4 separate regions of the Mus musculus genome follow, and all the other regions are reported to be linked to region 4. Evidence: microRNA targets listed by miRTarBase, many of them from high-throughput screens and not tested one by one. Region 4 holds a microRNA gene; each other region holds the end of a gene's coding sequence.

Region 1 (7,122 bases), not on the chromosome of region 4:
GGGGTTTTACCCATTCAATCTTTTCACACCTGCCACTCCCATTCGACCCTCTTAAGTGCTCACCACCAGTGGGTGGGGGTTTCGTCACCTCCATAACCCAAGTAGGGAACCACTCCCTCCAGCAAAGTGACTCAATTAGAAGATGATTCAAAATGACGACCACTACAACCTACCCTCCTCCTGCTCCTCCTGCTCCTCCTGCTCCTCCTCCTCCTCTTCCTCCTCCTCCTCTTCCTTCTTCTACTCCTTCTTCTCTCTCTCTCCCCCCCCCGATATTTTCTTTATTTACATATCAAATGTTTTCCTCTTTCCAGGTATCCTCTTTGGAAACCCCCTATCATATCTCCAAGCCCCTGCCTCTATGAGGGTGCTCCCCCCCCACTCCCCCCTCCCCCCTACATTCCCACTGGGACATTGAACACCCTCAGGCCCGAGGGCCTCTCCTCCCACTGATGTCCAACAAGGCCATCTTCTGCCACATATGTGGCCAGTGCCATGGGTCCCTCCATGTGTACTCTTTGGTTGGTGGTCCAGTTCCCGGAAGTTCCAGGGGGTCTGGCCAGTTGACACTGTTGCTCCCTCCATGGGGCTGCAAGCCCCCTTAGCTCCTTTAGTTCCTTCTCCAACTCCTCCATCAGGGACCCCCCTTAGTTCAGTCCAATGGTTGGTTGCGAGCTTCTTCCTCTGTACTTGTCAGGCTCTGGCAGAGCCTCTCAGGAGACAGCCATATCAGGCATCCATCAGCAAGCACTTGTTGGCATTCACAATAGCGTCCTGGTTTGGTGGCTGTATATGGGATGGATGCCCAGGTAGGGCAGTCTCTGGATGGTCTTTCCTTCAGTCTCTGCTTCACACTTTGTCTCCATATTTTGCTCACCCTACTAAAAAGCACTGAAGCATCCATCCTTCTTCTTAGGCTTCATATGGTCTGTGAATTGAACCTTGGACATTCCGAAATTTGAGGCTAATATCCACTTCTCAGTGAGTACATACCATGACAAACTTCTCTCTTGTAAAAACTTTTGTGACCACCAATAAATTTTGGAACATTGTATTTTTATTTAAATCTTTAACATTTTAAAATTTTTTTCAGATATAATTGTCAGTTGGGAACATATTGTTTAATTTCTACAGGTTTGTTAATTTTCCATGACTCATCATACTATTTTCTAGCTCCAACTACTGTGCTCAGAAAGGATATTTGATATGACTTTAATCTTCTGAAAATTTTAATGCTGTGTTCCGAGACTTAACCCATGCTCCACCATGCAGAAGGTCCCTTGAACAGTTGTTACGAGTGTGTATTCAGCAGATGACAGAGGAAATGTTAGGTCGGTGTGCAAGGAAGTGTAATTCAACTTCCTTGTTTCTTATTTAGGTTTTCTGTCACCTGACAGATGGTGAGTTCAGTGCTGGCCACCTTGCAGAGATCCTTAGCATCCAAGGCTTAGAATGTTCACACTGGGGGTCCAAGTACAAGTTAGCAAAGAGTAAGTCTGGTGTCTGAGATGTGAGCCAGGCAATATAGCCAAAGAGCATAGATCTAGAATGCGGGCATTTCTGGAGCAGCGTGGGTGGGGGTCAGGGTAAAAAAGGCTGGGAGAGGTGGGGAACATACAGTCAGGTCTCTGTGGTTTCCAGGAAGGAACAGCTGCTGAGTATTCTGTGGCATTCTTTGGTGAGCAAGCTTCTTGGGAACACAGTGATTCCACCTTACAGCTCACAGTATACCGCTAATGCTACAGAGCGTCTAGCCTTTCCTTTTTGTTCCTAGCCATCCGGGTGTCTCAGACGAGCATCAACTGGCCTATTGACATAGATGCTCCATCTTATTCTTCTCCACTGTATTGCAGAATTTTAGTGGACCTTCTCAAGGGTGTTTTTTTTTTTAAATAAATAACTGGCTTTTTTCCCCTGGGGGTGGAGGATGAAGATTTCTACCTCCCACTCCATCATCTTGGTAACATCACCTCCTTGACCCAGGTTGTGTTTCAAGAATCTCATTGCCATGTTGAATGAACCCCTCTGAATATTTTGGTTTTTTTCACTCAACATTATGCTTTTGTTATTTATGTTTTCTAATGCAAGAAATTTCAGAAGTCTAGAAAAATCAAGTTTGCAAATCAGATTTAGGAAATACCTTAGTTTTTAAAGATTATTAATTATAAAGATTATTAATTAATTACATATAAAATATATATGTCACATAAAGAACACCCACGTACTGGTTTTCCATGACTAGTGTTCTACCATTCTTATTTCATCTGTATCTACAATTTCCTCTCTCTCTCTCCATACAGGCATATACACACACAGTACAGCATACACACACACACACACACACACACACACACACACACCACACACTATACACACCCCACCCCCATATACACACCACACACACATATACACACACACCACACACACACACACACATTCCACACTGCACATACCCCACCCCACACACATACACACACCCCACACTACACCCCCCCACCACATACACACACATACACACCCCCACACTACACCCCCACACCCCACACACACACCACACACACATACACACACACCCCACACTACACACACCCCACCCCCCATATATATATATATATATATATATATATATACATATACATATATATATATATATATACACACACACCCCACACTCCACACACAAACCACACACACACACACACACACCACACACACTATAGTCTCCAACTCATCCAATTATAACAATGGAAATTATGGTGATAGTTATTATAATTTTAGATAATACACCTTGAAATGCACAAATATTAGGCATGCAGTTTGACAAATGAGGACACTGGTGTACGCCGTATCTTTGTCATGACACAGTCAGTTCTATTTCCCCTCATGATTCTTTCTAGTCAGTGCTGAACTTTCCAGGAAAATGCTGTTATGGTCAACTGAGGTTAGTGTTGCCAAAGATTTCATAAGTGGAATCACAATGCATGAGCTATTTTATTTAAAGGAGACTTGGCCAGAACAGGTCTCTCATTAAAAAATAAGAACAAAAAAATGACACAGAAGAATGGAGGTTATGCAGTGAATAGTAACTGAAGCAATTCCAGTAATGGGTACCAAAAGTGCTCAGAGAAAGCTGTTCTAACTGAAGTTATCCCTGCCTTATGCGTCTAAACAGAAAGGGAGTGAATGTGGCAGACAGCGCTGAGTCAGCATCTAAGACTTCTGGCGGCGTTCGATGCTTAATTACAATAGCAGAATCCAGCAGAAAATTTATAATAGAAAAACTTTGATGTTCTTCTTTGATCTTAGACCAGTGTTTCTCAACCTGTGGGTCATGACCCCTGGGAGGGAGGTCGAATGACCTTTTCATAGAGGTCATATATCAGATATCCTGCACATCAAATATTTACCTTATGATTCATAACAGTAGCAAAGTTGCAGTTATGAAATAGCAACAAAATAATTCTATGGCTGGGGGTCACCACGACATGAGAAACTGTATTCAAGGGTTGCAGCATTGGGAAAGTTGAGAACCACTGATTTAGATGTTGTCTCATACTGATGGAAATCTGATGTAAAAACATTCAGATTTTTGGAAGTACGTACAGTTCTGCTATTTAGGTGGTGTTTATGCTTAGAACAACAAAGTCACGGCAGTGGGGATACATGTATGTGTGTGTGCGTCAGAAGAGACCACACTCTCTTAGCTTATAAAAACGAACTGGCTTGTGAGAGAATCCCACTATGGTCCCTGGCAGCTATGCATGGCCTGTCGACTAATGGAAGCATTCGAGTGAGCCCCTCCCCTCACAGCTCCCCCTCAGCCCTCTTCTTGACTTTTAGACCTCTCAGATTGTCCATGTACACACATTTCTGGGCCTTGTGTTCTGCCTGTATATAACCCAGGAACTGCTCTAGCCTTCAACAGTCACTAGGCTAACCAAAGTAGGTATTTGAAAAAAAAAATATATATATATATATATATCAGTGGAGATACTGAAAGTGCCAGACACTGCTTTCTACACTTTGGTAGTGTGCACTGTCTTCCTGAAGTCTCCTGCGGGTACCCACAAGGCTAAAGCCAAAGGAACATTTCCAATCCTCTTACAGAATAGACACTTTCCTCCCCACCCCCCAAGGGCAGGAAACACCACAATGTTTGAGAAACAGTCTGTATTTAATAAGGATTTCTCAGCAAGAGCCTACTCCTTTCTCAGAATGGCAGAACAGAAAAGAAAAAAAAAAAACCTGTGTTCTGGTGAGAGTGACTAGAATACCCATTCACATTTGGATATTCATGTGTTGGAATTGTTGAAATCTATACAACATGTCAACTAGATGGCTGACATTTGAATCGTATCGGTTGCAGAGGTTTTGAAATTTGACGTCTGTGAGTGAATACACATATGTACTATATATGATATCATATGAAGTTTGTCTCTATATCTGTCTGACTCCTCTGTGTGTGTGTGTGTGTCTTTCCAGGCTAGGAATTGAACCCTGGGCCCCATACACAGTAGCCAAGTACTCTATCACCAAACTCCTTGCCCAGCCCAATTTTGACAGTCTGACTCTGTCCCTTGTCTATTCTCTTCTAACCCACGTACTTTTTGGTTTTGGTTTTGTGAGAGTCTCATGTCATCCAGGTTGGTCTTGAACTCACTACATATTTTTGCCTTACTCTGCCAGCATGTCTCCGGAAGTGGAAAGCCACCTGCTAAGTGTCCCACCCCAACTTTGTCTCCGACCATTGGCAGAACCATCGAGTGTGGTTTCCGTGAGTCTCTAAATGTTTGTTCATAAAGCAACTTCAGCTTTCTCTCGCCTTTCATGCTCTCTCATGTTTTATTACCTCATTTTTCTTGAAGCCACACAAAAGGCTGTAATAATAAGCTAGCTAAGAGACTGTAACTGATTCAGTATTGGGAATTTAATAAAAGTTGTAATTAAGATGCACTAAATATTTAATTAACATAAATGACTAAGATAATGAAGAGTTACAGATGAAATGTTTGTCAATTCAGTAAAAGGATAGTGTAATAGGAAAAAGGGAAGTTTTGAATAATCAAGTCTAAGGCCATTTGAACCAGGTTTTAACATAGCTGTGCTTAAAGGCAGTTGTTTAGACCGGCTTTGGGTTTTGTCTCTCTGTACATGGAGAAGACTCTTATAGGAGTAGCTGTTTGAATGTGAGTTATTAATGAACTCTACCTCAAGACCAGGAGCCAGCAGGAAGGGTCTGACAGTCATAGAGCGCCACGGGCCTGGGTGGGTTGCACAGCGGCTAAATGTTCTGTAAGGTCTTTAGCGACACAGCTTTGAAGTTATACCTGCTGAACACTGGTGTTCGAAAGCTCACATAGCAGAATAATTCTAAATTTAAAACTCTTGATGAACCATTTTGGACACCAATAACACACTAGTATTATGAGATTGTGTGTGTGTGTGTCTGTGACAGAATCTTGTTACACTGCTCAGCCTAGTTTCAAACTTAAGAACTTCCTGCCCTAGCCTCCTGATTTGTTGATATTATGGTATATTCCATTGTGCCTGGATCCATCAGATGAAATCACCATCTCTTTCCTCTATAATTTCTTCTATCTATCTATCTATCTATCTATCTATCTATCTATCTATCTATCTATCTATCCATCTATCTATCTATCTATTTATCTATCTATCATCAATTGGTTGATTGGTTGTTTAAGGCTATCATATATGTATACAATGAAATAAAATCAACCCATTTCCCTCCTCACACTCCCTACTGACCCCCATTTATATCTCTCAACTTCATCGGCTCTTCCTCCCCCTCCTCCCCTCCCCCTCCCCCTCCTCCAAACGTTGTAGTTCACGGTGTACTGGTCGCTCTTCTTTTGTGTGAGACAGGACACAACAGCAGATGCCTGGGAGCACTGAATACCGAGGACAGTCTGTCTCACAGGACCTCAAGCAGCAGGACATTGGGGTCAAATTCAGAACAACACAATTTATTAATTTTGCCCTTGGATATTTATAAAACACACATACACACGAGAAATTTGAATGCTGTTTAGAATACTGCCATGATTTGGTGGAGTGTTAGAAATTTTATTTTAAAATAGTTCAACAAATTCATTTTGAATTTTAATATTCTAAAATAAAAATGCATCATATCAAAATCTTGATCATTTAAAAAACTGTAAACACCATGATTCAAGCCAACAACTTTGTGCTTTTGAGACACGATATGTGCTCTGAGGATAACTGTGACTTCATTTGTCTGAGAAGAGTTTACTCTGCTCCCTTCTGGCTTTCTCAAGGCTTTCAAAGGTGATCAGTCCTTTTGGCAGCTCCAGCTTCGTCTTTTCTGTTTCCAATATGTCCTCAGCTTCACCTTAAGTAAAATGCAGACACAGGTAAGCTGATGAAGACGTCCTAAGGGTTCCCTAAGAGGACCTGGTTGCTGATCCAGGGACACACGGTGGGGACTGGATCCATGACCTTAAATCTCAGAGTTGAGCACCCATCTGACTCAGGAGAAGGAATACACCACTCAGGGGAAGCACATTACATGCTTATATTCTATCACTCAGGAGGAAAGACAAGACGATCATGAGTTCAAGGTCAGCCTAGGCCACACAGGGAGACTGTGTCTCAGAAATAGTACACAAAAGAAAAGATAAATACATGAGGCGATCACTATAATTACCTTGATCTGACCAATATACCACACACACACAAACAACTGAGAATTGACACTAAAAATGAATAAGTTGTCTGCAAAAGGAAGAATACTTATAGAAGTCATTAGAATTCTTTCCCAAAGGTTTAAAATGTCAGCGTTTTCCAATCCCTGGCCCAGATGATCAGCAGAAGGACAAGGTTAATCCTTGACTTGGCATGTCGCCAGTTTCCACAATGTAAATACTCCTCACCTGACCAATCACAAGCCACCAATGAGTGATGCTGGTTTTTTGTCGCATCTGTATGCTGCGTCTACATTTGCATAATGCAGATACAATTGATACAAGTAATTTATGATTATACCGAATAGAAAAATAATTTAAAACAGATGAGTTCTGCGTATTTAATGCTTTTTTGTTTTAAACGAAATTTAGTGTTTATTATAATTTAATTATCAGT
Region 2 (7,101 bases), not on the chromosome of region 4:
TTTTTTCCTAATTGTGCTGTGGAAGATAAAAAAAACACAACCTGAAGTGACTTTTTCAGTGGGTCTGACCTACTGCTCTTAGGGGAAGGACTGTGGGTTATCAACAGCACATTTACCTTCGCAATGGGCCTGAGCCACACTTTTCTCTTAGGGGATGGACTACTTGGGTTCTCGGCAATACGTTCACCGGGACTTAGCAGCAAGAAATGTCCTTGTTGAGAGTGAGCATCAAGTGAAGATCGGAGACTTTGGTTTAACCAAAGCAATTGAAACCGATAAGGAGTACTACACAGTCAAGGACGACCGGGACAGCCCAGTGTTCTGGTATGTAAACCAGCTCGGCCGTGCTTTGTAGCTTAGCATTGTCTTGAAGGCTCTTGAAGCTGTGCTTGGGTGCGTATCAGCTGCTCTGAGCTTTTGGAGAATGGGAGAGTCTGGCCATCATCACTTCAGCCTCTGTAGCTTCATGTGAGCAAGCCACACCCACCACAGTTCTCATAGCTGTGAGCAGGTGGAAGAGGCTGGCTCGTTCTTAATACATCCGTGTAGAAGCCCTGGAGGGATCGCAGGGCCACAGGTACACATTGCCATAGTCGTGGAGATCCTGCAAGAGGGATAGATACTTGGCTAGGTTTTAGGAACCACTAGTTACCGTAGTTAGCGAGCCACGCCCTGACCATCATTGTCTCTCAGTTGGGAACACCTTCCTGGGGAAAGCTGCCTGTGTACCCTGATGCCTCTCATGCAGACATGGGGCCCTCTCCACCAGCAAAGCCTATCCAGAGTCTTCCTTCCTCGTTTAAAAACGGAGTGGTTTTGAGGCCCTTGATTGTGCCAGTGAATCCTGAATTATGGGTGAGGCAGCCAACTTAGTGTGGCAGTGGCACAGGCTTCAGGCATGGGTTTGAAAGGCTGTGTGTGATTGGGTAAAAGCTGAAGGGAAGGGGGCATGGCTGGAGCTCTGCTGTTCTGCTGACAGAGATAAGAGGGAACTGAAAGCACGTGTGTCATTGGGAAGTGCTGTAGGGGTGGCTGAGTCAGAGCATCAGGACTTGACCAGAGTTGAAGGACACAAAGTCTGTACTGAAGGTCACCATGGAGAGGAACAAGAAAGGAACAAGGGAATCGGGGTCAGCTGCTTCAGTAGCCCAGGAAGGACAGGTTGGGACAGTAGGAAGTGGATTTGTCTGAGGAGTGTTCAGGAAACCAGTTCTGGGATGCCTAGACACCTGGTATGGGCATTTGGGCATCACTCACCAAAATAGTGATGCCAGAGAGGGTGCTGACTCCTGGCTTACAGGGATATAACTTGGGGCTCATCTTCAGGGGACTGTCCCCTCTCTAAAAGAATGTTCCCTGGGACACGAGGAACACAGATATCTCGTTTAAGGGCAAGTAAGATGTTGCTGTGAGCCTCTGGACTGCTGTCCCGTGTGCTGTGTGCACTGTGGCAGCATGAATGGCCAGAGTCCCTCAGAGGCACGTGACTTACATTCTCAAGAACAGGGAAGTGGCTTTCCTGAGGCACTCTTTTTTTTTTTTTTTGGGAGGAACAAAAGGCTCACTCCCTGCTTTCCTTTCAGGTACGCTCCGGAATGTTTAATCCAGTGTAAATTTTATATCGCCTCTGATGTCTGGTCTTTTGGAGTGACACTGCACGAGCTGCTCACTTACTGTGACTCAGATTTTAGTCCCATGGCCGTAAGTGTTAACTGCTACCTCTTGTCAGTGTGCCACATGGAGAGGGTTACAGCATGCTATCTCACATGGTCTGGCAAAGTTTGCCTTCACAAGTGCAGAATTCAGTAAGACGACTCAGGTTTTTAGGGTGAGGGTCATCACAAGAGAGAATGATACACTTTGAGCATTGCCGTAGGGGTTTTGTTTTCATACGACTGACAGCTGTGGTTGGTCCCCTCAGATGTGCTGTTATGGACCAATCCTTGAGAGCGCAAATAAGGGTTTTAGATTTTCATTTGAAGTTATGGAAGAGAAAAGCTTTGTTGCTTTAATTTCTTCTTACTTCTGAAAGCATCACCTTAATTTTGTTTGGTTTTATTTTACATAGTTGTTCCTGAAAATGATAGGCCCAACTCATGGCCAGATGACAGTGACACGGCTTGTGAATACTCTGAAAGAAGGAAAGCGTCTGCCATGTCCACCCAACTGTCCTGATGAGGTAGCTGTGTCCCCTTCATGGGAAGGGAACTGCATTTTGAATGTCTTTACAGCTTGCCTTATCCAGCATGGGAGGGGAATAACAGAACCGAAGGCCTTACACTGGCTACAGTGTTGGCTCTTGCTTAAGAGTACTCGCTATTCTTTCTGAGGTCCTAGGTTCCATTTACAGCATCCACTTGGGTAAGACATGAGAGAAATCCCTCCTGCGGGGGATGATATGCTGCTCAAGCAAGGCTCCTCTCAGGGAGCTGTGGCCTCCATACCGTGCATGTCTGCCTTCCCAGAAGAGCACATGTGATGAGGTCTTACCATTGCCTGAAGACATTTACCCCACTCACTAGCATTTTCAGTTTTCTAGATTCTAAACTGGATCAAGCCTCCATAGATACTCAGGACTGTCTGGTCAGAGGCAGGTGCAGTGGTGGTGAAGGGGGTAGGCAGATTAGTAACTTTCCTGCCCCTCTCACAGGGTCACAATAGTGACCTGGATTTTGTTGAAAATCAGTTAACCTGTGAGTTAAACAAATGATAATACCATTTATGAACTATTATTTTCTGCATTTTAAGTTGCTCAAATACTCAGTTGTTTAGTCTTGTTAAAGGACAGCAGTTTCTAGCGTATTCTTGATAATTTTGTGTTTTTGAATGTGTGGATGCTTATGGATGCCAGAGACTGAGGGATGTGTCTGCTTGGTTGCCCCGGCTTTGTTTGCTGAGGCAGGGTCTCCCTGGAGTTAGTCCCTCTGGCTTTGCGAGGCTGGCCAGTCTGCCTTACAGCTGCTACCCACGCCTCGCCTTTAAACTGTGTGTCATGCTCTGAACTTTAAGTTACACTCGTGGGGCAAGTACGTGATCCACCAAGCCAACTTTCCAGCCTCTTATTGTTCTTTTAGAATCTCTCAAATCTGATATTATTCATACTGTTCTTGCTTTTATTTTTCATAGGTTTATCAGCTTATGAGAAAATGCTGGGAATTCCAACCATCTAACCGGACAACTTTTCAGAACCTTATTGAAGGATTTGAAGCACTTTTAAAATAAGAAGCATGAACAACATTTAAATTCCCATTTATCAAATCCTTCTCTCCCAAGCCATTTAAAAACGTTTTTTAAGTGAAAAGTTTGTATTCTGCCTCTAAAGTTCCTCAACAAATACTCGAGTTACACATATGCATATGTCACACTGTCACTCAGTGTGTGGATATGCCTATGTCACACTGTCACTCAGTGTGTGGAACTTTCTCTTTAAAGGTGTAACATCTTAAATTTGGTGATGAATAGTGACAACCAAAAGACTAGATTGTGCCTAAGCACTCCTTCTGGAACAACCGAATGATCAGCTGCATAGCAAAGGACTGTGCCGCTGGCATATTGATCTCAGATAAAAACTTGTGGACTTGGCTGACACTCTCCCTTGCCCTGAAATCTCAATGTCTATTCAGTGATAGTACAAGCACGTAGATACCACTTAGTATACTATTGTTTCTATTAAAAAAAAAAAAAAAAAGGTCTGTTCCTGCTACCTTTTAGGACTGAAGTTTTAAGCACTGGTACCCACTGTGGGGCAAACCTGTGCTGCAGGAGGGAGCCTGGCATACACACTCTGCATGTTACTTCTTGAGAACTAGACCTGTGTGCCTGTGTTTTCCTGAACAGCTGCTTTCTGTCAGGCAGACTCCTCTGACCTGGATGCGGTCACATCCACCTTTAAGATTGTCAGTGCATACTCCTTCCTGACGATCCCCTGGGGCAAGCTGCCGACAGTGGCGTAAACAGGAGACATCACCCTATACTGCGAAACTACAGAAAGGAAGACAGCTTGGCCCAGCGGGCTGAAGTTCAGAATTCACTAGGTAGTTGTTGTTGGTTGACTTGGAGGTAGCTGGGTAATCAACAGCTTTCACTTTAGATTCAATGTGAACCGCAGAGTTACTCATGACCAAGAGTCTGGCAAACTCATTAATGCTGTTTAATACTTGTTTGATATTTTTTCACCTTTTGAGCCCTTTTCCCAAAGAATTCAATATCAGTTTAGTAGCAACAGTACAGTTGCCATTTAAATTGGTTTAGTTGCTGTATATCACCATAGCCCCTGTTTACGTCAAACCTGTGTCTCGCTCTATATGCACTTTGTTTACTCTTTATACAATAAACATACTAAAGACTTCACATGCATATGCCTTTTAATATTAAGCTTGCATCTTGAAAAGCATTTCAAACCATTAGCTGACACAGAAAACTAACAGCGTAGACTTTGGGGGGTTGGTTGTAATGACCTTGTACTAACATCACTTGATTTGCATTTCTGTCTTGTAATAACGGGCACAGGCTGGCATAGTGGAGGACCCACATGGAATGTGAAGTGTCTCTAAGTTCCCTCCACTGCTTCCTCCTCACACTGCAGCTCCCAGATAGCAGTCTCTAGCCTCCACTATTCTGTGACTTAGAGCTGCAGCCAGAGGCAGGAGGTGCAGGGTCAGAGCACACCATTAGTCATCTGCTGGGACCTCGTGCTGGTCATCACCTATAGGAAGCGTGTCTAGGACGGTCTTCCTTTCATTTTTTAGCTGTCATTTTTTCAATGAAAGCTGGTATATGCAATAAATTAGGCCAGGTAAAATTCATTATAAAACATGTAACATATGTACCAGTTTTAGATTTTATAATTAATGCTGGAGAGCATTATCAGTCAAAAATGATAAGTCCTCCAAATAAGGTTTTTTAATGATCTGATCTAGGATCATTGAGATCCTACACTTCATCAGTTGTAGTCTCTTAACAATGAACACATAGAAATTTCTAGATGGAAAAAGGTTGCTCACTTAATACCAAGATCTTCGGCAAAGGGTGAAGTCAAAAGTCAGACAAATAAAGACAAGTGTTCTTTCAGAAGTGAATTGGATTAAGCGGCCATTTCCTTTCAGCTTAACAACTACCAAAGAGTGAGTAAATAACCAGAGTGAGGTAGAGCCTGTTAGCTCAGAACTGCCCCACGCTGTCCACGGCCTCCCTCAGGAAGGGCTGTGTGCACTGCTCTGCTGGGGCTCGGCCCTGTCTAGGGACGAGACCTTCACTGCTGTATGCTATGAGACGGCAGGGAAACCCTGGCTCCTTGCTATGCACATCTCCCATAAGATAAAAAGAATAGGGAGACAGACTAAGGGCAAGAGAGTAAACGCCCCTGCCATTGCAGGCTCTGTGGTTCTCGAGGCTACTCAGTTCCCATTGTGACACAAAAGTAACTACATAATATGTAAATGAGCAAGCCTCACTGTGTTCCCAACATCATCTTGGGGACATTGAAACTGCAGTTTCATGTTGTAAGTCCTCCCCTACCCCCAGACGTTTAGAAATGTCCTCACTTGATTCACAGGCAGCACAAAGCTAGGTGGTGGACTACATGTGGCCCTAGTGTGTATTCTGCTAACCCTTGTATTATGTACAAAAGTTACTTTTCCTGAAATACTTTGTTTTCCGCAAAAGGTGTATATGGTAAATGATACTCCGGAAGTGAAGCATCTGAAGTCACATCACTTTCACTCTGCCACTGGGTTGGTCTTATGTGGCTTTGTAGAGCTAATGGAGGCTGCATGATGAGCATCTGTTGTCACCACTGGGTGGTACTGCCACCCTTGCAGTTTGAGGAAAGACTACAGATGAGACTATTTTTAGGGGAGAGTAAGGTAAATGCACATTGGCTTATACGAAATTCATTCTAAGGCTAAGGAAACAACAGTTTCCCAGTTATTGCTTCAGACTTTATATATGATGTCAAAATTGTTCCCAGGCCCGAAACAAGGACTATTGGAATGCTGACTCTCCTGTGAGCGGAGTCCTTATCACGTGGATTAAGACACATCTAATGCTAGTGGAAATGCCCTCGACCAGTGGTGTTTCTTATTGCTAGGTGGGTATTTGGCTGATCTGCCTGCTGCATGACAGTTCCTTCTGGGAAGTCAGACACCCGTATAGAAAGGATATGGCTAGTGTGAATGAAGTTAAGGCAGCGATGAGCAGCAGGCGCCGCGCCGCAGCAGGCGGGCAGGAGACCCGGAGCTTAGTACACACGCTTCTTTTTCAAGTAGGTTTCTGTGTAGCTCACTCCGGTGTCCTGAGGGTGCTGGCCAGCGAGTTCTACCGGGCCTCCTTCTGGGGCAGAGATGAGATAGGAGGAGCCTCGCTTCTCATTCCTCAAGGAGGATGCCTGTGAGAAAGTCAGTGAAGATGTCCGTGAGAAAAGCATGCTATCCTCAGTTGGTGTGAGGACAGAATCCCAGAATCCCAAAACCGAGAAGAAATAGAAAACCACCTTTGTTGCAGGAATTAGACTTTCAAGTCTCTATAAAGTCACCCGTGGAGAGCCTGGTATGGTTCAGTTGAAGAGCAGCCTCTGGCCCTGCACTCCACCCCAGCACCAGTCAGTCCCACCTAGAACCTGAGCCCTCACCTCAGTTCTGGGATGTGGGAGGAGGAAACTGGTCCTATTCACACCTGAGGCAGAAGAGCAGTACCAAGCATCTGGCTCTGATGGAGGATGCAGGCTAGCAAGTGGGGAGTCGTGTTAAGTATGCCCATTGACTGTGTGCAAGAACTTGTCAGAGTGGTGTCAGGGAAAATGACAGCACTACCAACAGTAATGGTCATCTCAAAACTTTGGGGCCCCAAATAATCAGATTTCCAGGCTCCCTTCCCGAGAGTCTGATCTAATGTTCCCCATAACAGGCCACATTAATCAGTACAATGATATCCTGCAGCCTAGCACGTGACCTTTCCCTACAAATAAGTGTGAGGTGCTTGCTGAGGCCATTATAACAGCCCAGATACACAATGTGAGAACAGCTGATGGGGAGGGAGGTCAGCTTTCTAACACTGGAGAGTTCTCACATTCGGTGTCTTTAAACCCTTAAAAAGGTTGCGTCA
Region 3 (7,116 bases), not on the chromosome of region 4:
CTGTCAGGGTACATACTCAAATGTAAAGATTCAGAGCAAAAATCCACAAATAAAGAGAATATTTGGCGTTTGTCTTTCTGTATCTGAGTGGGCATTTTAAATGAGAGGTTTGGAGATGTAGCTCAGCTGGTTGAGGGCTTTCTTCACAAGCCCCAGACTGTGGCTCCAATCCCCAGCCCTAATGACCGGAGTAGTACATACTTACAATACCAACACTCAGAGGTGGCACCAGAAAGATGGAGGCCACCTGGGCTACCTAGGGAATTTGAAGCCAGCCATAGACCTAGGCTCAAATAAATATTTTTTTAAATGACTCTAAAGGATTTTCCACAACTTCATTGCTTCTCCTTTTTCTCTGTTTCAGGACTGCAGCCATGTCACTGTCAAGGACAGAATTGTGACGATCACAGACCTTCGATAAATCTCAAATCATGAACCAGGGAGATGGATCACTGGGTAACAGCACTTGTCACCAAGCCCAACAGCCCAGGCTCAGTTCTTGGGACCCACATGGTAGAAGGAGTGTACCGACATTCCCCCAAGTTGTCCTCTAACCTCCACATGTGTGCTGTGGTATGTGTGTTCTCACGTGTGTGTGCACATACACACACACACGCATATCAATTAATTTAAAAAGCGAATAAATGTAAATTATAAAAAGAGTCCTACCCCCCTCTTAAGCTGCATATCCCGTTCAGTTTATTGCCCCCATGGAGTTGAGTAAGCTTTTAAGACAGGATAGGAAAGGGTCAACACTAAGGGGAGACTGTTGTTGTTGTTGTTGTTGTTGTTGTTGTTGTTTTTCCTTAATTTGAAATCATCTTATTTTTTAAGACAAATGTGAAAATGACCAAATCACACCAAGCAACTAACTCAAAAATTAGGATGCAAGAGAAAATACTTCTCTAGATCCAAACACTGGCCTTCTGTTCCTCTTGAAATTTACCTCCCAACTTGTTCATCTCTGCCTTTGGACTAAATAGGGGCATCTGTGCAAAACTGTAGAAGCCATTTTGAAGGATTTGGCTTTTTATTGTTTGTGGCATTAATAAGGGAGCTTACCATTCTGGTGGGATGTGCATGAGGCGTTCACAGCCCCCATACATGGATCTTGTTTAAAGTGTATTATTTAAAAGGTCAGGGTGTTATTTTCTTCTATAATAAAACAGCTCACTTGTGTTGTGCTCCAGAGTGATTTGTCTGACCGAGCATCATCACACAAACACTTGAGTCTGATTGCGGCCAAATGGGATGGTGTGTGCCACACTGAACTGTGTTCCACTTCACTTATAATTAGTCAGTGTGCCTGCCTGCCTGCCTGCTGCCTCCTCCACAGGCAGGAAGTCTTCTCTCGTTTTGCTGTTGTCTCAAAGTGTGTCTTCCCACTTTCTCCTTAAGCCTGACAACCTTCAGCCCAGGCACTGAAGCATTTCAGAGTTCCTGGTTACATCCAAGTCAATGGTGTGGTTGCCGAGTCACCCACCCTGCTAAGTCCACTGTGCTGGCTTTTTCTTGAGAAATGCTTAGGCTGGGGTGGGAACATGAGTGGCAAACTAAAGGTCACCTAGAGATCTGTGGCACTAACATGAGAGAAGAGTGGATATAGCAGAATTTGTTTTTCTAACATGCATATGTACATGTGTGCTCATATGTCTTATGTGCACTGTGTACTTACAGGTGCCTGCAAAGCCAAAAGGGACTTTGGTTTCTTTAGAACTGGAGTTACAAGCAGTTGTGAGGTGCCATGAAGGATGCTGGGAACAGAACCCAGGTCTTCTACAGAAGCAGAAAGTGTTCTTAATAGCTAAACCATCTCTCTAGCCTCCCAAATTGATACTCTCACTCTTACCAACAATGCTGCCTTCCTAAATATATGTGAACATATGCATTCAGAAAAGGATGAATTCATATCAAAGGGTAGGATTATGAGATTTCATTCCCCCTCTGTTTTAAATGTTTCCCAACTAGAGAGAACATATACTGCATTGTAACTGGACAAAAAGGACAGTATCTCTTATCCAGAAACCAAAACTCCACTGCCCCCTCGATGTGGGAACCCAGCCAAGACCTGCTTCCCGGGCAGGCTCAGTGAGGGGGCTTTGGTAATGCTCTTGGGCAAAGCTCAGACACATGTCATATATGGAAACTTTCCATAAGGCTGACCTCACCGCTGGAACTTGTTCAACATAAACCTTGCCTTCAAGAGCGAGCAGAAATCTTTGGACAAAGCCTAGTGGGTGGATAGCTGAGAACAGCCTAGGAAATGAATTGCTGTTGTTATGCCTGAAGTCTCGACCACAGTTCTGGGCCCTCCAGATTGCTCAGTCCCCTGTGAAAGACTGCTTTCTACAAAGTCACCCTCCTCCAGAGAAGAGCTGCTGCAACAGTCTTCCGTTGTTTCTGCCTTCTGGGCTTGGAAAACACGGGCGAGCGTTGCTTAAGGTGAACACCACAATGGTTACTGGTGGGTGGTGGAAGTGGAACCATCTCCCACACAAAAGGAAGCACAGCCATTCTTAGATCCTCCTCTGCCTGTTCCCTGGCATTATAGCTTTGCAACCCCTTTGCATCCCTATCGTCACCTCATTTTGCCTTTTAAACAAGTGAATGGTTCTGGGCACAGTGATCCTATAATCCCCACGCTGTGGAGGCTGAGGCAGGAGGCTCAGCCAAGCTTCTCAGTGAAACCTTTTTAAGAAATGTTAATGGAATTGCACCAAAGCAAACCTTTATCCCAGTGTGCTCTGTGCCACCCACGCATTAGCCATGCTGCCACCATGGTCATCCCTCAGCCCTGTATCCAGAGCATCTCAGACTCAGTACAGCCTTTACCCATTTCCCAAGACTTGGAAGAGCTTTAATTGATTCATGGTAAACCCAGGATATGGTCATACAGTATTTTCAATCCCAGTGGCACCATGGCTTTGAAAGCACACCATCTTAATAACTATAACACGAGGCTTTAGCTAACCACAGAGAAAGGAATTTTATATTGGCTCAAATTATTCTCATTGCACTGACAGAAAATCTGATCGGTGTTCAGACATACCTGGATCCAGTGTCCATTTCCTTGGTTCAGGACTAGTCATTTGAGTTATTCCATTAAAGTAATGTAGACAGCTATAGTTTAATAGCCTACTGTCCTGATAAATCTAGTTGAAAATGATTTCTGGGTTTCAACACAACTCCTGGAATTGTTGGATCATGACTTTGGCCACAACTCATCCTGGGACCAGTCACTGTGGGCCAGAAGGATGGAAGGTTCTGATTGGTCAGGCTTGGGTTGCAAGCCTATATTCCATCCAACCTGCATGCTTTGAGATCCAAACAATACCATGGTAGTATTAGAAGCAGGAGTGGATGCTGGTCCAGGGGAGGCAGCAGATGTCTGAAACAGATGCCGTGTATGAGGAGAACCTAAGGCCATGGGCAGTAGTACCAATAGTGTGAGCTAAGCATATTTAATAGTAGTATCCAGTGCTGTGGTAACAGCAGCTGGACTAGGGGGTACTGACATGCTCCATGAAACATGTCATACATCCAGACCATGACTCATTCATTTAAGGGTGCCTACTATGTGCACAGCACTGTTTGAAATATGAAGAAAAAAATTACTATAACCTCTGACCTCCAGAAGCAGATGTGGAGAAAGGAGCTATGTTCCTGTGACAGCACAAGGCCAATATCACTATTACAAATGTACACAGGACAGTGACTGAGAGACCCAAGAGAGGATCCTCTCTGCTATTTATATTCCTCCTTCCATTTATTCAGCAAAATTTTACCATGCACATACTAAACACCAAGGCAGTTTTCAAGGAGGCCAGAAAAGGACACCAGAACCTCTGGAGCTGGAGTTACAGGGGCTGCAATTGGTCTGCTGTGGGTGCCGGGAAGTGAATGTTGGTCCTCTGTAAGAGCAGCAAGGGTTTTGAACTATTGAGCCATCTCTCCAGCCCTGGGTCTTACTTTTCTTACACTTGGATAAAAAAAAGAACTCTTAGTTAGGCAAAACAACCTTTAAAAAGTCAAATGGCGAAGCTGTGAGAGAGAAACGGCTACAGAGGATCTCCTAAAAGCCAGCGTTTGCAGGGTATTTTCCACTGGCTTAAAAATACTCCAGGGAGGCAGATGCTGCAGAGCATCCATCAGGCAGCACCACAGAGCCTGTCTGCTTCTGTCTGTCTGAGCTCTCAGTGGGAACAGCTAACGTTTCCTTCTGTCTCCCTGTCTCTCTGTCAGCCTCCCTCCCCCTCCCCCTTCCCAGTCCCCTCCTTCTCCCCCTTCCACTCCCCCTCCCTCCCTCTCTCTCTTTCTGATACTGTTCCAAACAACCCTTGAGCATCATGTCCCTGGTGCTCTGGCTTTCTCATTCTTGCTCTGAAGCCCACCCATCCCTTCCTCCAGGCTACTGCACGTATCCCACACTTGTGTACATGCAAGCCCACAGTATCCTGCCTGGAATGTCACACACACACACACACACACACACACACACACACCCCTAAATAAACCTAAAAACAAACTTTAAAGACAAAAACCATAGAGTAAGTGTGGGGCATGGCGGTATGTACACATCTGCAATCCCAGCACCAAGGAGGCAGAGGCAGAAGGACAAAGGCGTTAATGCCCATCCTTGGCTGCATAGTTAAGTTTGAGGCCAACCCGGGTCACATGACCCTATTTCAAGAAATCACCACCACTGTTGTCAATAACAACACAATAATGATGATGATGATGACCCCAGTACTATTGTCACCAAAAAGAAAGATAGAAAAAAAATTATATCAGAGCTTCCAGGTATGACGGAGTTCATACACTAAACCAGTGACGGACATCCAGGTGTCTCAGCTGGGTTTACTGTACAGGTGATTATGACATACCTCATATAGCTCATCTACTGTGGAGAAGTGATGTGGTTCACACTTAAATATGTGTGTGACTGTTTGCCTATATGTTATGTCTGTGTACCACATTTGTACTCGGTGTCTACAGAGGCTACAAGATGGTACTGGAGCCCCTGCAACTGGAGTTGTTGGTTATAAGCTGTCATGTTGGTCCTGGGTCCAACCAGGGTCCCCTGCAATAGTAAGTGCTCTTAATCACTGAGCCATCTCTCCAGCCCACAGTTTATTATGCTTTTTAAAAAAACTACTGAATCCATTTGTCTTCGTGCTTGATTTCTTCATCTCTTTCCCTCCACATTCAACTAAATTATACTTTGCAATGATTTATATATCCCAGATCTGTTTGAAATCTTCTCTGGAAGTTCTCTAGAGCCTGGCTCTAACAAAGTCTGTGTGTGTGTGTGTGTGTGTGTGTGTGTGTGTGTGTGTGTGTGTGTATGTATACATTAAAAAAAATTAAAAACAAAAATAAAACCGGTCTCATATTTGCAGTAAGTTTTCAAATGAAAAGTGTTGTAGTTTAAATGATCCCCCGCAGACTTGGGTATTTGAACCATTGGTCCCAGTTGGTGGCACTATTTGGGAAGGTTATGGAACCTGCAGGAGGCTGGAGCCAGGCTGTGAGTGTTACAGTCTTTCCCAGCAACCTACTTGCTCTCTGCATTGTGCCTATGGTTGAGAGTGAGAGTTCTCTTACCATGCCTGTCGCTTGCTGCTGCCTCTCCCTGCCATGATAAGCCCAAATAAACCCTTCTTTCTATATGTTATTAAATAGTGATATCTTATCACAGCAACAGAAAAGTAACTAATACAAAAGTGAATCTGAAATTATTTGCATTGTGTTGTGAGAATCTCATCCTTGCGACATCACAAGTGACCACGCCAAGAGTTCTTGGCAAATACCAGGTTCTCTTAGCGCTAGGAAAGGAACCGTGTTCAGGCTCCAGGGTGCTAGACTGACCCCGAAGAGGTAGATTCTTGGTTTCCTCATTACTGTGTGACTTCCATAAGAGACTGCAGCTCCTCTGGCCTCAAAGTCTACAACTTTTTTTTTAAGTTAGTAATGCCAAGATTAAATATGATTACATAGGGCTCAGCTCAGTGTGAAGAGGGGCTTCGTACATCAAGACTTCAACCTGAGTTCCACTGAACCCATGGGAAGAAAGAATGAACCCACAGTTGTCCTATGACCTCCACCCATGCACTATGACACACAGACCCACTTACACACATCATAAGCACACATTCAAATTCACACAATAATAAAAAATTTAAGTAGATGACTGTATAGACAGAGGGTTATGTGGTCATGTTGACACAACATCTTCTCATCGCTGACCCTCCCAGGAGGACCAACTGGAAGCCTTTTACTGAAGGAGTTCTAAATGGACTAGATGTCCCCTGGAGCTGGGAATGATAAGAATGCCCAAACCCAACCACCTGTCCTGTACCCATTTGACAAAGCCACTAGCCAGAAAGACATCCACATTCTCCTCTCTCTGCCCAGGTGAGCAGAGAGCACGTCCATGGAGCTGGGCCTGGCACCCAGACTAGAATAAAGCATTATGGCTGCTGTAAATCTCCCAGACTACCCTCTTGGGGCCCTCCTTTATCATTCCTCCCCTTCTCACAGAAAAGGGAGCAATTTCCCTTGTTCACATACCCTATACTGTTCTCGTAAGATCAAGAACCTCTCTCCATTTTCTCCACAGCCTGGTGGAGTTCTGTTGAGGGTCATTTTCCAGAGCCTGTTGTCTACAGCTGGGGGGAGAATAGTGATCATTTCACATCTGCCCCTGTGCTCCGTAAGTAGGATTTAATCCTGTTGTTTAAACCTGTATCCTTGTTTTTCTCCTCCCTTGTTCTCTCCATTACTGAAAACGTTATTAAAGAAAAACCTCTAAATAAGATGTAGGGTGTGCGGATACCCATGCCTGCCTGTAATCCCAGTACTCAGAAGACCAGCTGGGGCTACAAAGCAAGGCCTTGTTTTACTTTGACACTTATTTGTGTGCTCATGTGTGAGCTCATATTTCTTTAATTAAAATATAATTACATCATTTCCTCCTTCCCTTTCTTCTCTCCAATCCTTACCTTGCACCCTTCTGACATTTTTATAAATTGTCTCTACCTTTGTAACTGCTTCTTATCTTAAAACTGTTATGTGTAGGTTGGCCTAGAATTCATGGAACAGTGACCAGGTGCCTGG
Region 4 (7,122 bases):
CATGGAATCTTGAAGCTAGTGTTGCTGGCATTCCTATGGATAGGGCTATACACATGTAGCTGGTTTAGAAAAACATATTAGCACCCCTTATCCCTCCATCCAGATGGTGGAGATCTAGATAGGGCTGAGAGAATAGGCTCATAGGGCCATCATAGCCAGAATGCCTTTTTAGCTTGTGTTTGCGATTACGCCAGTACCTTCATGTCTACACCTACCAAGAATGACTCTCCTGGAACTGATTTTAGGAACAGAGTGGGTGGATCCAGAAGACCCAACCGTCATTGCAGAAACTGAGTTACTGGGAGCTGCAGCATCCATTGAAGCCGCTGCCAAGAAGTTAGAGCAGCTGAAGCCAAGAGCAAAGCCAAAGGTCAGTGTTCACTGGCGGCCGCTCATCCCCTGCGTCCTGCATCCAGCGGTGACTGTGCAGTGGAGCTAAGCAGGGTACACAGAGTTTCTCCTCCCTCCCCATCCTTACACCAGGAAGTCGCACCCGGTCTGCCTGCCCAGCACCATTTTACATAGTGGGGGAGGGGGGCGGGTGAAAACCAGTGAGTGGGTCTAGTTAACTGCCAAGAAGAGTACCTCTGGTTATTCCGAGGAGAAACAGGACATCCACATGGAATTCCACCATGGAAAGCAAGTTGTGGATAGTTTCTGTCAAAGGCTCCTGTTAGTAGATAGGAGACTGACAGCCTTCAGTTCATCAGTTTCTACTGCACCTTTGATACAGAAAGAACAATGCTGGGTATCTTGTTTTCTTAGAAACAACAGGCCTGGAAAATGGCTCAGTCAGTAAACTGCTTACTGGGGCGAGCACGAAGACCCGAGTATGGATTTCCCAGCACCCACATAAAAAGCACACGCGGTAGTGTGCGCCTTTACAGCTCTGAGGAAATAAAAAACAAAAACAACAACAACAACAACAAAAAATCAACCAAAAACAATATGGTGCTTGCAGTGGGTAGAAAGATGGCTCAGTGAAGAGCACTTGCTTTTGCCATTCCAGAGGACCCAAGTTCAATTCCTAGCGCCCACAGCAGCTGGTTCACAACCATCTGTAACACCATCTTCAAGGAATCCCACATCCTCTCTGACTCCATGGATACTCTACACACACACACACCATCTTCAAGGAATCCCACATCCTCTCTGACTCCATGGATACTCTACACACACACACACACGTGCACACAAAGTTATATATATGGAAGTATCGTAGAGAAGCAATTGAGGGAAATACTTGGCATGGACCTCTGGCTTCCACCTGTGCATCCACACACAAATAGAGAATAATGCACATCTCAAAGAGAAACCCAGCACTAGGCTGTTTCAGTGTGTACAGGAGCCCGTGGCTGGCTAGTGTAGTTTTCATAAGAGAAGTAGCCAAGAAGATAGATTCTTTTCTATGGGGCAGTAGGAGCTGGCCCATCTTCAGGGTCAGGCTCAGCCTTAGTAAGCAGCTGCGGTTCCTACCCCACACTTCAGCCACCTTTAGGAAGATGTCAGAAGGAGGAGGTTTCATTTTCTTCCTACCTATGCAAGTCTTTATGGGTATCTATATTCACCTCCCAGGGACCCACATACATTGGGAAAGGAACTTTGGCTATTTGTATGCCCGCCCCAAAAAAGTTAGACCCCCAGTTTAGGTCTGCCTAAATTTCTACCTATTTTTGTCAAATTGAAAGATGGTGTCTGGAGGTTTGAAATACAACAATCAGTGCCAAGGCAGTGTTGAGGACATGTATGCAGCAGACAGGAGGCTAATGAATCTGTTAAGGCTGGAGGCTTCTTAAAGTCGTCAAGGCTTCAGACCTATCTCCTAAGCACTGGCCTTGATGGCAGGCACATTTCAGATTTTCCTCATCAAGGCATAATTTGAGATTTTTGACCTCTGACTTTTGTGTTTGCTGGGGTTTCGTTCCTGGTGCCCTGGGGCTCTTGGATCATCTGATACTGTCAGAGTTTAAGATCTGACAGTCCGGTCAGGGACAACTGCATTTTCGGGTTAGGTTTTTGTTTCTGCTTTGCAAGTCAAGTTAATAGAACTTGAGAAGTATACTTTAAAGGTGAATCTTAAAAATAAGGTTGTGCCGGGCGGTGGTGGCGCACGCCTTTGATCCCAGCACTCGGGAGGCAGAGGCAGGCGGATTTCTGAGTTCGAGGTCAGCCTGGTCTACAAAGTGAGTTCCAGGACAGCCAGGGCTACACAGAGAAACCCTGTCTCAAACCCCCCCCTTCCAAAAAAAAAATATATATATATATATAAAAGGTTGTGAGGTTTGCAGCTTAATCTGCGTGTCTTATGCTTGTCTAGTCTATCCCAAGAGGCCTTTTCACAGGGGATGACTCTGTGTTTTGGTCAGTTGACACCTGCAATCTGTGAATGGGCCTGCTGCTCGTGTATCACCCATATTCCACTATTTTCCAGCATCCCCTGGCCTCCACCCTGTCCTTCTCTAGGGTCCTCCTCAGCTCTTGTCTGTTTTTCTCTGACTGGTTGCTCATTTGCGTCAACATTCTTGATTTGGAAAACAGACTTACTGGGATCTCCTTCATCCTGCAGGATTGTTCTTATAGCATAAGTCGATAACGTAAGAACATGGTGCCTGACTAGTAAATGGTAATGCTATCACCTCTGTCACCATCACTATGACCAGACATATGCTTTCTGACACCTTCATTTTTCATCTTTGTGTGGAAGATAAGGTCTTTCATGGATCCCTAGTTGGGTAAGAGGGCGGGCGACAGGGCTACCGTAAATACAAGACACGGTCCAGACCAGTCTCCTAAGTATTTTATCTGGTCCTCACCACTGTCAGACCGTGTGATTGAGTGGGGAGGGAACATAGAGCTGGGGTCCCAGTTTCTGAACACTGTACTCCCTCTGATACCCCATTGGCAGAGAAAATGATTCCCGTCCCTCAGGACCACTGCACTTTATAGTGTCTTAGGCTGTTAGACTTGTCTCCAGTTCCTTTCCTAAGGAAAAAAACCCAGACTTGTGTGAGAGGGATGTTCTAGAAGCTTGGTTGGTAGCAGTAAGAAGTTGGGGTCTTCTTGAAGGGAAATGATGAGGCTGTTACAGTAATGAAGAGTAATGGTTGCCAGACTGTACAGCGTGAAGATGCTTATGGAATGAGTAAAATGGGGAGAAATGATAACACCTAGGCATCCATGGTTAGTGCTTATGTCACAAAGCTGGGAACTAACGGAGATGATCAGCAAAGAACAGCTAAGACTTGAAATGGGACCAGGGAACGGCAGGCTCTGTGTTTTACAGTTCTGGAAAACAATGTTTGAAAACCACACACATTGAAAATGAGGGGGGCTGGAGAGAGGGCTCAGCGGTTAAGAGCACTGACTGCTCTCCCAGAGGTCCCGAGTTCAATTCCCAACAACCACATGGTGGCTCACAACCATCTGTGATGGGATCCGATGCCCTCTTCTGGTGTGTCTGAAGAGAGTGCCAGTGTACTCACTTAAAATAAATAAGTAAATCTTAAGAAAAGAAAATGAGGGATGGTTGCCGGAGGCGGCCTGTGTGGACCCCTTATGTGTACACTGCTAGGCATTATCCATGAAAGTGTCTCAAAGCAGCTTATCATCCCAAAGCATGTAGCCCCGGGCTTGCAAGGAGGGCCGTCCACCGTGGGAAACTTCTTGCACAATGCATAACATCCTCCTGACAGTTACAAAAGAACTTTTCCTCGGCTTAAAAGAAAAAAAATTACCGAAACAGCAAAACCAGCTAATATTTGAGGTTACTTTTCTCCATCCTGTCCTGTAACCTTAAAGACAAAAATCCTCAGGGTGCCATAAATGGCAGCTGCTCCTGCATACTTGCCATAGTGACTGTGGCCACCCACCCCCATACCACGTGAATGAGGTTATCCTCCACCCAGGCAGAGCACCTGTGCTGCTTGGAGGACTAGTTTGGGGAGGGAGGGAGGGAGGGTGATGACTTCCAGCTGTTTTGATTACCTGGTTCTCAGGTTACCTGTTTTAAAAGGAGACTAGTCTGTGGCATGTGAAGATGGTTCTGGTGTAGTTCCACCCTTGGGCCCTGACCATGGAAGCACCTCCCTTTACCTGTAATCTCTCAGACGTGAGTGACAGACAGGTGCACAGACTCCCTTTTCATTTGGGGAAAGGAGCCCAGGCTCAGAGTGTGTGCCACCAGCATTGTTGCTAATGGCATCCTTGCCACACCTACAGACACGCCTGTGTTCCAAGGCAGGCTGGGAGATACTGCAGAGGTGACTGACTCCCACAGCCATATTCTCAAGCTCAGTCAAACCTGGATGCCTTTTCTGCAGGCCTCTGTGTGATATGTTTGATATATTAGGTTGTTATTTAATCCAACTATATATCAAGCATATTCCTACAGTGTCTTGCCCTGTCTCCGGGGGTCCTAACAAAGTTTAGAAGCAACAGGAAAAAATATATTAAAAAATCACAAGTAGGTTTAGATGACAGAGTGCGTATGTTGTTATGTTTCATTCCATTTCTTCGTGTAGCCTTTAAGACCTGTGTCTTAGTTACCTTTCTGTTGCTGTGACAGGATGCCCCAACCAAAAGCAACTTAAGGCAAAAGGGTGTATTATGGCTTAGTTTATCAGGGGCCAGACCATCAAAGAGGGAAGGCCGGCAGTCAGGAAGTAGAGAGATAGGACAGCAGATGGAGCCAGGCCATAAAACCTCAAAGGCCAGTATGTCCTTCAGCAAGGCTTTGTGAATTCCTAAAGCTTCCATAGCCAAATGGCACTGCCAGCTGAAGACCAAATGTTCAGACACACTAACTTATTATGGATGGGGGATGCTTTGTTTCAGACCACAACAAACTGTATCAATACTACTACATTATCTGTTTGTTGTGGAAAGGGAGTATAGCTCCTGAAGGCTTAAGATATTTTCTAAAGTTTAGTTGAATGCAATTAGGAGTCCTTAAGAAAAGTATTCAGTGGAAAAAGATGGAAGATAACAACCCGTGTCTTTGATATAGGACAAAGGTTAGGATTGTAACTGGCAAACACATTGATCTAGATATTTCTTCCTGACAACTCTCAACACACTCTCACAGATTAAATTTTGTAATTGTTTTCCATGCCAAAAAAAAAATCGGGACATTTATTATCTCTAACTTTCCGCTTCTGGTAACAAATCTAAACCCTGGTGACTGTGCTCACTTTACGGATGGTGAGCCCGTAAACCTTAATTGCAGACCTTAATTTGGATCAGATATGTCTGATGAAGAGAACATGCTCGGGACTGTGCTCTGTCGGTTGAGTTTTCTGTTGTAGGTGAACTTCTGCACAGAGGTTGTTAATATTTAGAAGAACCCGGCAGTCCGAAAGTAAACAAATACTCTAATTGGCTGCCGCAGGAAGTTGGGCTATGACCCAGAAAGCATTCTTTCGGGTATATATCAGCCTCTCTGGCTGCTTTGACTTCTTCCCATAAATGAGTCCGTGAACTGTATGTGAGTTTACTCTGAGCTGTCTAGCACAGAGACTATATAAGTACTTTTCCTGGAAATAGCATGGCTATGCTCCCAGGCCTTGTTGGTTTTACCTTAGGAGGAAACAACTCTTGATGGCACTCCTAACTGTGGATGAGCAAGACCTCTTACCCTACAGGGGCAGGAGAGTAGTTTGACGGGGGTCGTCAGAAAAGGAACTTGGGAATATGTAGAAGCCACCATTGGTGAACGAGTAGTTTTTTTAAGCATCGCTCTAAAAGGTCTTTCGGATGAAGACACTTGCCAGAAGTGGTGAGATTTGGGATGGGGGGTAACTCTGCTGCTGTCTGGCATTCCCATGTGGCTGATTCATATTCTGAGTGGGAGTGGGAACGGGCACACAGGTGTTCTGTGACATGGGAAAGCAAACATGTTTTCTGCATGGCTAAGCTACAGGCTTGGAGCTCACATGCCAGACCTTGGTCCCAGACAAGCAGAGAGTGTATTGCCAGGTGGTTCTCTACCAGGACCTTGTTAGGTCCTTAGATGCATAGAAGGCTCATACCAGAGATTCCTAAGATGAACCAAACTGTATCTCATTGAATAATGGAAAGGCTTCTATTGTCCATACTTCCTATATCAAGGTCCAAGTGACCCCTTCTTCCCCTTTTTGAGAGTATGACAGAATTCTAAAGAATTTATTTTCATCAGAGACTAATTATAAGATCAACTCAGTGGTATTACTTTTTATATTGAATATAAGTTACAAAAAATGTAATAAAGCAATTGTATTATATGGGGAAAAACTATTCCCAAGATACTAACTGTGCAGGCTTGGGGCTTTTCCAATGGATGCTACATGAACCTATTCCTTTATTATCTATCTGGATGTGAAGGTGGTGCGTATCCAGCTACTAACATGACTTGCTCAGCAGTGGTTTCTCTGTGTCACCCTGAGCTTCCCCTGAGACCAGGCCTCTGTGAAGGGTACCAGCTGTTCTGGGAGATTTGCCTTTTGTTAGCTTTATTAAGGATGAAGGAGGTCTTAGAGCCAGCCAACCCACTGGTCCTTCAGAGCACAAGTTGATGTAGCCATGGTATGCTTTGGCCAAGACTTTCTCCCCAAAGCATCTCTCAAGTCAAAACCAGAAGCTAGGCAGGAGCAGCCAGGTTCTGCACAAGAAAGGAAAACATGGCCACCTGTTCCACTCAAGCATCCAACTGTCAGGAAAAGACCTCCTGCACGTTGTGGGAGTCCTAGGTATTGGCCCCCGTTTTTCCCTTGAGGACATTTAACTTACATATAACACATTTACACTTTTAAAAAACTCCACTGGACTTCTGACTTCTGAATGCGACCTTCTTGTAGTAGTGGCCATTCAGTAAGAGACTAACACAGAAGGTGGCAAGATGTGAAATGATGGAAGGGCGAGAAACAGCTTGAATAGCTCTTTGGTACATGTAGCTGCTTGCGTGGAGAAGAGTCATGGTACTTTTTAGCTCTCAAAAAGTCTGGTCTGGGCTGGTGAGGTAGCTCAGTGGATAAAAGTGGCTTGCTTTGCAAGCCTAGCAAGTTGAATTCAATCCCCAGATCCCACAGTGGAAGGAGAGAAAGCTGGCCTGCAACCTCCATATGTGTACCATGACACGTGTATCCACAC

The links. The annotated mature microRNA mmu-miR-190a-5p reads UGAUAUGUUUGAUAUAUUAGGU and lies in region 4 at 4,329-4,350, shown strand. An mRNA with a match to its seed (bases 2 to 7 or 8) in the 3' UTR can be bound and repressed. Matches are read on the target gene's strand: a 7mer-m8 pairs with bases 2 to 8, a 7mer-A1 pairs with bases 2 to 7 and ends in A, and an 8mer does both.
Region 1: the mRNA of Plgrkt is a reported target of mmu-miR-190a-5p. Seed matches in the 3' UTR shown: 7mer-m8 at 6,224-6,230.
Region 2: miRTarBase lists Raver2 as a target of mmu-miR-190a-5p. The part of its 3' UTR that is shown has no 7-base or 8-base seed match.
Region 3: miRTarBase lists Stambp as a target of mmu-miR-190a-5p. Seed matches in the 3' UTR shown: 7mer-A1 at 617-623.

The regions. Positions count from the first base shown.
Region 1 is chr19:29,342,633-29,349,754 of GRCm38, forward strand. It overlaps Plgrkt (plasminogen receptor, C-terminal lysine transmembrane protein), which reads right to left. Exons shown (of 6, transcript NM_026362.2): 6 at 6,045-6,373. The coding sequence ends at 6,252. It overlaps Gm52390 (a long non-coding RNA gene), which reads left to right. Exons shown (of 3, transcript XR_003952902.1): 3 at 4,687-5,620. Among named protein-coding and RNA genes, the nearest start is that of Rln1, 12 kb to the left of the region's middle.
Region 2 is chr4:101,149,616-101,156,716 of GRCm38, reverse strand. Raver2 (ribonucleoprotein, PTB-binding 2) reads right to left here. Exons shown (of 12, transcript NM_183024.1): 12 at 4,347-6,385. The coding sequence ends at 6,239. Jak1 (Janus kinase 1) reads left to right here. Exons shown (of 25, transcript NM_146145.2): 22 at 152-324; 23 at 1,584-1,701; 24 at 2,069-2,179; 25 at 3,127-4,743. The coding sequence ends at 3,222. Among named protein-coding and RNA genes, the nearest start is that of Gm24468, 34 kb to the left of the region's middle.
Region 3 is chr6:83,537,285-83,544,400 of GRCm38, reverse strand. Stambp (STAM binding protein) reads left to right here. Exons shown (of 10, transcript NM_024239.2): 10 at 365-1,195. The coding sequence ends at 421. All of the region lies in intron 2 of Gm38844 (a long non-coding RNA gene), which reads right to left. Among named protein-coding and RNA genes, the nearest start is that of Actg2, 4.6 kb to the right of the region's middle.
Region 4 is chr9:67,233,928-67,241,049 of GRCm38, reverse strand. Mir190a (microRNA 190a) reads left to right here and starts at 4,324; the gene lies at 4,324-4,390. Tln2 (talin 2) reads left to right here. Exons shown (of 58, transcript NM_001081242.2): 53 at 246-370.